Nothobranchius furzeri: one gene and its partner. The protein of the gene in region 1 binds, or shares a complex with, the protein of each later gene. Links are inferred from orthologs where the notes say so. Each region holds a gene or a part of one and is shown in the gene's direction. Other genes may lie near its edges.

Evidence for each region. The genes of interacting proteins can lie anywhere in the genome.
Region 2: ubl4a (region 1) and get4 share a complex: the UniProt entries of both Homo sapiens proteins name them as parts of the BAG6/BAT3 complex. The link is inferred for Nothobranchius furzeri from reciprocal best matches to the Homo sapiens genes UBL4A and GET4.

The regions. Positions count from the first base shown.
Region 1 is NC_091757.1:40,379,999-40,384,364, reverse strand, and holds the start of ubl4a (ubiquitin-like protein 4A), read left to right. Parts: upstream 1-1,359; 5' UTR 1,360-1,549; coding exon 1,550-1,597; intron 1,598-4,366. UniProt on the Homo sapiens protein: As part of a cytosolic protein quality control complex, the BAG6/BAT3 complex, maintains misfolded and hydrophobic patches-containing proteins in a soluble state and participates in their proper delivery to the endoplasmic reticulum or alternatively can promote their sorting to the proteasome where they undergo degradation.
Region 2 is NC_091756.1:28,102,842-28,107,039, forward strand, and holds the start of get4 (Golgi to ER traffic protein 4 homolog), read left to right. Parts: upstream 1-1,175; 5' UTR 1,176-1,207; coding exon 1,208-1,425; intron 1,426-1,437; exon of another isoform or gene 1,438-1,661; coding exon of another isoform or gene 1,662-1,687; intron 1,688-2,252; coding exon 2,253-2,331; intron 2,332-2,576; coding exon 2,577-2,658; intron 2,659-4,198. UniProt on the Homo sapiens protein: As part of a cytosolic protein quality control complex, the BAG6/BAT3 complex, maintains misfolded and hydrophobic patches-containing proteins in a soluble state and participates in their proper delivery to the endoplasmic reticulum or alternatively can promote their sorting to the proteasome where they undergo degradation.

The DNA.
Region 1 (4,366 bases):
AGACAGACAGACAGACAGACAGACAGACAGACAGACAGACAGATAGATAGATGATAGATAGATAGATAGATAGATAGATAGATAGATAGATAGATAGATAGATAGATAGATAGATAGATAGATAGATAGATAGATAGATAGATAGATAGATAGATAGATAGATAGATAGATAGATAGATAGATAGATGATATATAGATAGATAGATAGATAGATAGATAGATAGATAGATAGATAGATAGATAGATAGATGATATATAGATAGATAGATAGATAGATAGATAGATAGATAGATAGATAGATAGATAGATAGATAGATAGATAGATAGATAGATAGATAGATAGATAGATAGATAGATAGATGATAGATAGATAGATAGATAGATAGATAGATAGATAGATAGATAGATAGATAGATAGATAGATAGATAGATAGATAACAAATGAAATGTGTTTTGCATGCTCCAGTAAGACTATAATAGTGTTTCAGACACTCATCACTTACCACGTGCAGTCTGGGTATCGATCAGTACCTCTTCCTCACTCCCGTGAGTGCGTGCTTATTTGACTCCGTCCATCCGACAGGTGTGTACATCTCTCCTGCAAGTGCCCGAGTGAAAGATGCTTCTCCTGCTGGCCGGGACTGAGCAGGCAGCGTAGACAGGCAGTCACGTGACCAACATCTCGGAGACCATCCATACGGGAGGGGAGAGGTAATGACAAATGCGTGGACTGGATCCGAATTGGGTCAGACGGTCCTCGGAGTCCATCGGAACCAATGGGGAGCGTCAAACTGAGAATAGCCTTTCCCCCCAGCTAAAACAAATCAAAGGTTATCTGTGTGCACTCTGATAGCTCCTTCTTCTGTCCAATGAGGCGTTTGTGCTCCATTTCAATAGGTCCGTTTTACGTTAATCTGTGATTTATTTTATATGTTTTATTTGGCAACACATTGCAATTCAATGTAATTGCTACTCAGCGTTGTTTTGTGTCAAATTCATTTTTGCTCGAATATGGAAGTGTGAGTTCGTGAGGAAACATAATAAAAATAAGAACAAAGGCGATATATTTAAAACAAGCAAACTTGAAGCTGTTTCACAAAAGTCTAATCGGGGTATTTGGGGGTATTTCGGCTGTGAAATTAAAAGCCTGTTTTATTTTCTCGGGCGGACAGAATAGGCTTGATGTTAGACGACTACTGCAGGTGAAATATGCTGATTTTCACAAGTGTGTTTGAATCAATTGTGATTTTTTAAACATAATTTTCTACGTTTGAAATGCAGATTTCTGTTGTTTTCCAGTTTTGTTTGAAGGGCTGAGATATTCCTGCCAGACGGTGGCGCTGTTGTCAGTTGAGAGCAAGCAGTAGCTGCAGAAGAAACAGAGGAGAGTCGCAGAAGAAGAAAAAAGAAGAAGACGTTCCACTGAGAAGAGAACAATCTGTTTGCTCGTTACCAACCACTAAAGTAACGTTATTTGGGTACATTTTAAATCATTTAAAGTTTGAACCTCTTCGCGTGTGTTTGGTTTGATATTTTTGCGGCTCTCATAATGATTATCACGGTGAAGCCGCTTTCAGGACTGGAATGTAACATTCAGGTGAGTTAACGCATCATGATGCTAACTGCCGGTGTAGCCAGCACACCGATGGTTATTTATCATATTAGTTTGCAAGTAAAGGGAGAACATATATGCTTCTTTAGTCAGGAAATTAGACAAAACACACCATTCTATGTAGGTTATGTGGGGTTAAACCGGTTAAACATAAACATCTGAGACGAGTTTAAACGTTATCTCTACCGAAGCTGTCCTGCTAGTTAACACTAATGTCACAGGAGGCCTTAAAAATGCACGTTTTTATGCTTTATTGGTTGTATTTATTAAAGTGGAAGGTTGTGCGTGACTGTATGACTTGGACAAATGTTAGCTTGGAGTATGGTTGCTATGGTGATCGTAACAGGGAAATCACCCAGAACTTTAGTTTTTAAACCAAAGCATTCCGTTTTTAATTCGTAAACGTGCAGATTCCATTCAATTTCAACATTTGGAAATTAGATGTGTTTACTCATTTGTAAACACTTCGATCTTTTAAAGCACCGTCGCGTGACAATCAAAAGGTTGTATTTTAATAGCTGAGGTAAACTAAATTCCCAAATCATTGTGGCGTCTACCTTTGTCTTTAAGATGTGAAGAGTCTGATCTTGCGTAACTCAATCCCGTGTTACTACACACAGAAATAATTGATACGCTTTTAATTTCTTGTTTATAATGATTTTACAGATTTAAGTAGGTCTGGGGTTTGAGCCAACAGCGCACCACAGCCGAGACATTTTCTAATTTATGTAAATTAGGACAACGAAATCACGGTGAGCAAATTCAAAAGTTGTCATTTACATTTCTCACAAGCCTGATTTAAACTTTGCCCTTCAGAATAACATATTCATTGAAATTCGTTTCATTTTTGAGTCGGCAGCTTAAAGAATCTCATTATTCTTCCCTCTGGCTGAATCCAGTCTCATTAATGTTTGCTAGCGACTCGAGAAACCTGTCTATAATACCCTTCTCTGTTTCCTAAATAAACAGAAAATGTCATTACCAACAGTGAGTTTATTTAAAAAATGATACATGAAGTTGATGCAAAGTTAATTGCCTAAACTTTGTTACTGCGTCACTTTCGTCTCAGTTGCTTGTGCTTCTTTTACTTCCTCTCAGTGCTTCCTGTCCTTATATCCAAACTCACACAAAGAACCAGTCTTCTGTCTCTGCTTTTAACCATTTTCTGGTGTGAAAATGCAGCAAAAATTATAACAGGCTAGTAATTATTCTACATTATTTAATCCTGTACAAAAAACACAACTGTGGTGCAGTAATGAGTATAAGTTTGTATATTTAGCTGGATTAAAACACCACAAATAAATAATGCTTTTGCTTAAAGAGCAAATTGCAGGTTAGAGACTCAAATAAACCAATGTTTAGAGAAACATAATAGCAACTCGTTTTAAACTTTTTTTTACACATTCATAAATTATTTAGGCTTTTAGAGTCATTTTTGTGAGAGAGTTTTTTTTTTATTTCTTTGCCAAACCAAGTCAGCCGACGGGGTCCTGTTAGCTTAATCTAGAGAAAAATGTAGATCCTAATGTCGGCTCTGACACAGAGGAAACTTTAAATGTTTGTAATTATACTTATGATGGACCAAAAAAAAAAACAGCTGGCCCGCTGAGCCGCCTGTCTCTTCTGGTGGTCGGTTCTGACCTGGTTCTGACGGTGATCTGAGTTCCAGAAATCTGAATGTACTTTTTTAAACCCTGCCACGGGTCTCCAGAGCCCAGCGCAGACCTCCCTGTCTCTGTACCAACCGATTTGGGCTACAGAAGTCCCGTCTTTTCAGCTGCACAAAACGCCCTCAGGCATGTGAGATAGAGGCGTAGTTTCTCTTATCTGGAAACCCGTGGACTCGATGTCCAGAAAGGCTGGAGTTGGTACAGCCTTCACAAACTATAGTTTATCAACATGAACACAATCCAAAACTAGTAAACACACACGCTGACTGGATAACATGACCGCTCTACCCTAAAACTACCCACTCTCCACACAGAGCTGAGGCAGCGCCTAGCTTCTAACTCCCTTTGGTTACATCAGAGGTTCAGATTTAGAAAAAAAGAGCCTTTTTAGAAGCTTTGCTGAGAGAGGCCACTTTTTACTAGAAAACTGCTGTTTTTAAACCAAATATCCACAATAAGCATTTCAAAGAGTATGTTTGGACAGCATTTTATATGAATTAGAAAAAAATATGTTACCTGCAACTTGCTTTTTAAAGAGTTAGTCACCCCCTACAAGAAATTCACGTTACTCCCACTTCATCTTTGAAAAATGCAACAAATGCTGTTGCCTGGCAGACCGAGAGAGCGGAGCCGCTAACAAATAAACACAAACAGGCTCACAAAAGCATTGTGACATCAAAATGTACTAGCTAACGTCATTGCATACCTCTTAGCCAATAGCAGTGGCAGGTTTAAATTTAAATGTAGTGAAGAGGTTTTACCGGACGACGGCACAACACTGACAGTTTTAGTCAGAATATTTAAAGTCCAGGGGCCACGCACAACGGGGTTGGAAAACTGCGCAAGCAATTTTCCACGCAAACTTTGGAATTCATGAAAGAAAACTTTGCGGAAAATTGTGCGCAACTTTAAGTTGACTAAGGACCTGGCTTACGCACATTTTGGACATGGAGAGCACCTGCAGTGCTGCTGCTGAGAAGGATAACATTATGAAATTCTGCAGCATTATCACTTGTACTGCTTCGTTTTCACACAGAACAAGACCCCCCACACACCCGCGCACGCACACACACACACACAAACA
Region 2 (4,198 bases), on another chromosome or scaffold:
CTTCACTTTTAAACCAGTCAAGTGATTTCCCCCTGATGTCATGCTGGTTTAATCATGGTTAATTATGTCAAACCTTCATGATGACAGCTGTTTTTTCTCTGCTGTTTCTTCTGGACAGAGTGTGGCAACTCTCAATATTCCCAAAGTCCAACTCAGTTCCCTTGGTCTGTAAAAAAAATCAGCCATCTGTTGCTTTATGGAGCTGACATCCAGGTCATGGGACTCTTCCCCGTTCACGGCGTATGATCTGAGTTTGATGCTGAATCCGGTGATAATGAGATCATTGACCTTGGTGTCAACCAGGAAAGCAGTCTTCTAATCCTTCTCCTAGTTCTGGATACCTCCTCTACCTACATGCACCAAGATGCCTTTCTGCTGCATTCGGACAAAAGAAACCTCTTCCGAGAGGAAATCAAGCAACGTATCTCGTATCAATCAAACCAAATCCAAGCTTTATTTATAAAGCGCCTTTCGTGACCCTGTCGCGAAGCCCAAGGTGCTGAACACGGTACATGAGAAAAACAGGTAAAAACATTAAAGTAGAAAACAAATGGGTAAAACAAGAGATAAAGAGACCAATGAAAGCAGGGAATTAAAATTAACATAAATGAAGGCCTAACTCAAACATATTCAGGGAACGCGAAGCGGAGGAGGTGGGTTTTTAGGCGACTCTTAAAGGCTGGCAGAGATGGGGATAGCCTGACTGAGGGTGGCAACTGGCTCCAGAGTGACGGGGCTATGACTGAGAAAGCCCGGTCCCCACGAGTACGACACCTAGAACGAGGGACAGCGAGCAGGCCTTGGTCAGAGGAGCGCAGTGTGCGTGATGGGGAATGTCTGTTCAGGAGCGTGGCCAGATAGGGGGGAGCACTACCCTGGAAGAAATTGTAAACAAAGACGAGGAGTTTAAAGTGTGAACGATAACAGACCGGAAGCCAGTGCAGGAAGGGCAAAACCGGATTGATGTGGTCCCGTTTCCTGGTCCCAGTCAGTAACCTGGCTGCGCTGTTCTGCACAACCTGTAGGCGGCGCAGTGATGATTGACCCAGTTCATCCAGGTGTGCTGTTTTGTGAAGAGTCAGTCCAATTTAAAAAAAAAGTAATACGAAGAACAAACATTTTTTTTAATATAGTGCCTCTCAGTTTAGTGCCTCTCTACAAGAACAAGGCTAAGTCGTCAGAGTCATCGATGTTATAGTTGCTCCGTATGCCCCGTCCCCGCCCCTTGCTACGAGCCGCAGCCAGGACCTTCTCGCTAGTCGCTGCTGCTGCTAAAGGCATCGCTATGGCGGAGCCCGAGTCCCTGAGGTGCTCCAGTGCTAGAAACCGAGGAGGCGTTCAGAGGGTCGAAGGGAAGCTTCGAGCAAGCGTAGAAAAGGGAGATTACTATGAAGCCCACCAAATGTATAGAACTTTATTTTTCAGGTGAGACTTCACAATATGTTCGTTCTAATGTGCTTTTGTAGTTACGGTCAGGCCGGCCTGTTCCAGATCATTCCGCTGTCAAACCTTTGACTGGTGCTTGTACGTGATTGGTTGTATTCGCTCTGTGTCCCGCCTTCCCTTGATGGTTCTTGTGTTTGATTGGACAGTGATCCTTTCTATCTTTAGAAGAACAATTGCTATTGGCTTACCGTAATGATACCGCTAGTACCGAGCTGATGATAGCAAATTTTTTGTTAGCAGAGTGAGTAAAATGTGACAACGATAACTTATTTTTGGCTGTATTAATCATGAAATGTATACTGAAAACAAACTGAAAATAGCGACCAACTGTTTTCGTTGGTTTACAATGCAGTTATGTGAACGAGTACATTCATGTTCATTTGCGTTAGCATTTCGCTAGGTGGGAAGCAGCCTTCTGCTATCTCCTCGCAGTAAAATACGAAATAACGACGTGTTTCTAAACAGTTTGTTTTATTTTGAGCTATACCAGACTGATTTGATGCATTTCACTTCTATATCATATTCCATAAACTATGTCATATCCCACCCTACTATGGTAGAATACTAGTTTTGTGGTCTGACTTAACTGCTTACTCCCTCTTGAAAAACGTACTAAGCTGTCGAGAAAGCTCCCAGTTTAAAGCCAATTTCCCTCAAATGTATGTTCTTTCAGTTAATTCCGTCCGTTTCTTGATTGTCACAATCCTATCGTTTACTTTATCAGATGTATATGGTCATTTGGCCTTAGGGAGATTTAGGAGATTGTCTTTAAGTGCACGACTCCGTTCCCCTTTGCCTTCCATCAGGTATATGTCACAAGGAAAACATGCAGAGGCGAGGGAGCTGATGTACAACGGTGCTTTGCTGTTCTTCAGCTACAACCAGGTACAGACCACACCCACGTTTTTGACTAGAACATCCGCAGATTTCATGTTTAAAATTGCATTTCATTAGAAATTAGCATGTACACAACAGCTGTCAGGTTTACAGTTTTGATCTTTGCCTGCTGAATTAACCATAACTTTAACTGTACAGCCTGACTTGTGGCTTGGGTTAAGTTTACCGATTACAGTACGTTCTGTGACAATAATGCTGCCCCAAACATGAGTTCATTGTGGTTTACTTTACAGCAAAACAGCGCAGCAGATCTTTCCATGCTGGTGTTGGAGGTTTTGGAGAAGTCTGATACTAAAGTTGAGGATGAAATGTTAGGTGGGTTTCGAGCTTTCATTGTGTCTAAAAATAACTCTTACTGAGTCTTTTGTGTTGATTTTGATCTGCTTTCTTTTCATTATGTGACAATAGAGCTGTACAATTTATCACATTTTTATTTGAACTTCGATTTAAGAAATCACTAAAATAATGAAACCAACAACAAAAAGGTTAAATTGTTTTGCCAAGACAAGCTTGGTCTTGTATCGTTATGTGATCCAATTAACATACACCTGCCTCCTCTGAAAACTCACCCATACTTCACACTGGAAGCATCAGTGGCACGGACTGTCGCTGCTTCAAATGAGAAGACATTAAAATCTATGGGGGGGTTTCAAACCAGCCACTATGCGGAAATTTTCAAGCGCGTCCCAGAAGCAGCTGGCCATGCCACTAAAGATAGGATGGGTTCTATTTTTGCAGCAAGCCGCATCTGGGACACAACAATTTACACAGTTAGCATAGGGCTAGACAGGAAGTCGCACACGGTTTCAATGTAAAACCCCTGGTAATTCTCAAAATAAGACTACTGCAGCAATGCGATTTCATATCTATGTAGATTACATCAAAAGAAGTTACCTAATGGTTTGTTTACTCCCTGCATTGTTCCAGAAGTGCAATAGTGTGTTTTTTATGGCTTTAATCCTGCAAGTGGAGAGGAACAGCCTCATATGGCAGCAGCAGCTCAGGAGGTAGAGCGACTTGTCTGGTAATCAGACAGTTGCAGGTTCGATCCTGGCTCTGGACAGAGAATTCTGCTGTTGTGTCCTTGGGCTAGACACTTAACTCACCTTGCCTGCTGGTGGGATTCAGAGAGACCGGTGGTACCTGTGCTCATCAGCCTGACGCCTCTGTCAGCAGTGTTTCCATAGTTACCTTGAAATAGTAATCTGATTTCTGACTACTGATTACTCCTTCCAAAAGTAACGTAGTTACTTTACTGATTCATTCATTTAAAAAGTAACTGCCGTATTTTCCGCACCATAAGGCTCACCTGATTATACGGCGCACAGCCAATCAGCGTCCTAGTTAAAGGTTTGGTCCGCACATTAGGCTCACTGGATCAAAACACGCACCCAGCAAAGCAAACAAGCGTCCCGGTCGGCACAATTAAGGCAAATTGGGCAATTAGATCAAAGTCAAACGTTACTCCACTCATTATCTATACTAAAAAATAAATTTCTCATTATTAAAGTAACATAAATGGCCCAGTTTAATGCACGGGTGCTTTTAGCAGCAAGAATGAAGATTTAAACTCTGGTAACGGCATGACTGACTGACTGACTGACCTGCAGCAGCTGGTCTTCCAACTTTCTCCACTTGCAGACCATCGACTCGTTAATCTTGTATTCTCTCGCTGCTGCTCTGTTTCCATGCTCAACGGCGTGAGCGATGGCTTTGAGCTTGAACTCTGCCTCGTAAGTGTGTCTCTTCGCTGGTGCCATGGCTGGTTACCGGTATAGCTGTGTGGAGCAGTGCCACACCTTTTATTAGGTGAGGGTGATGAGGACGGCGCTGGGGGGTACCGTGCTGGGCCAGA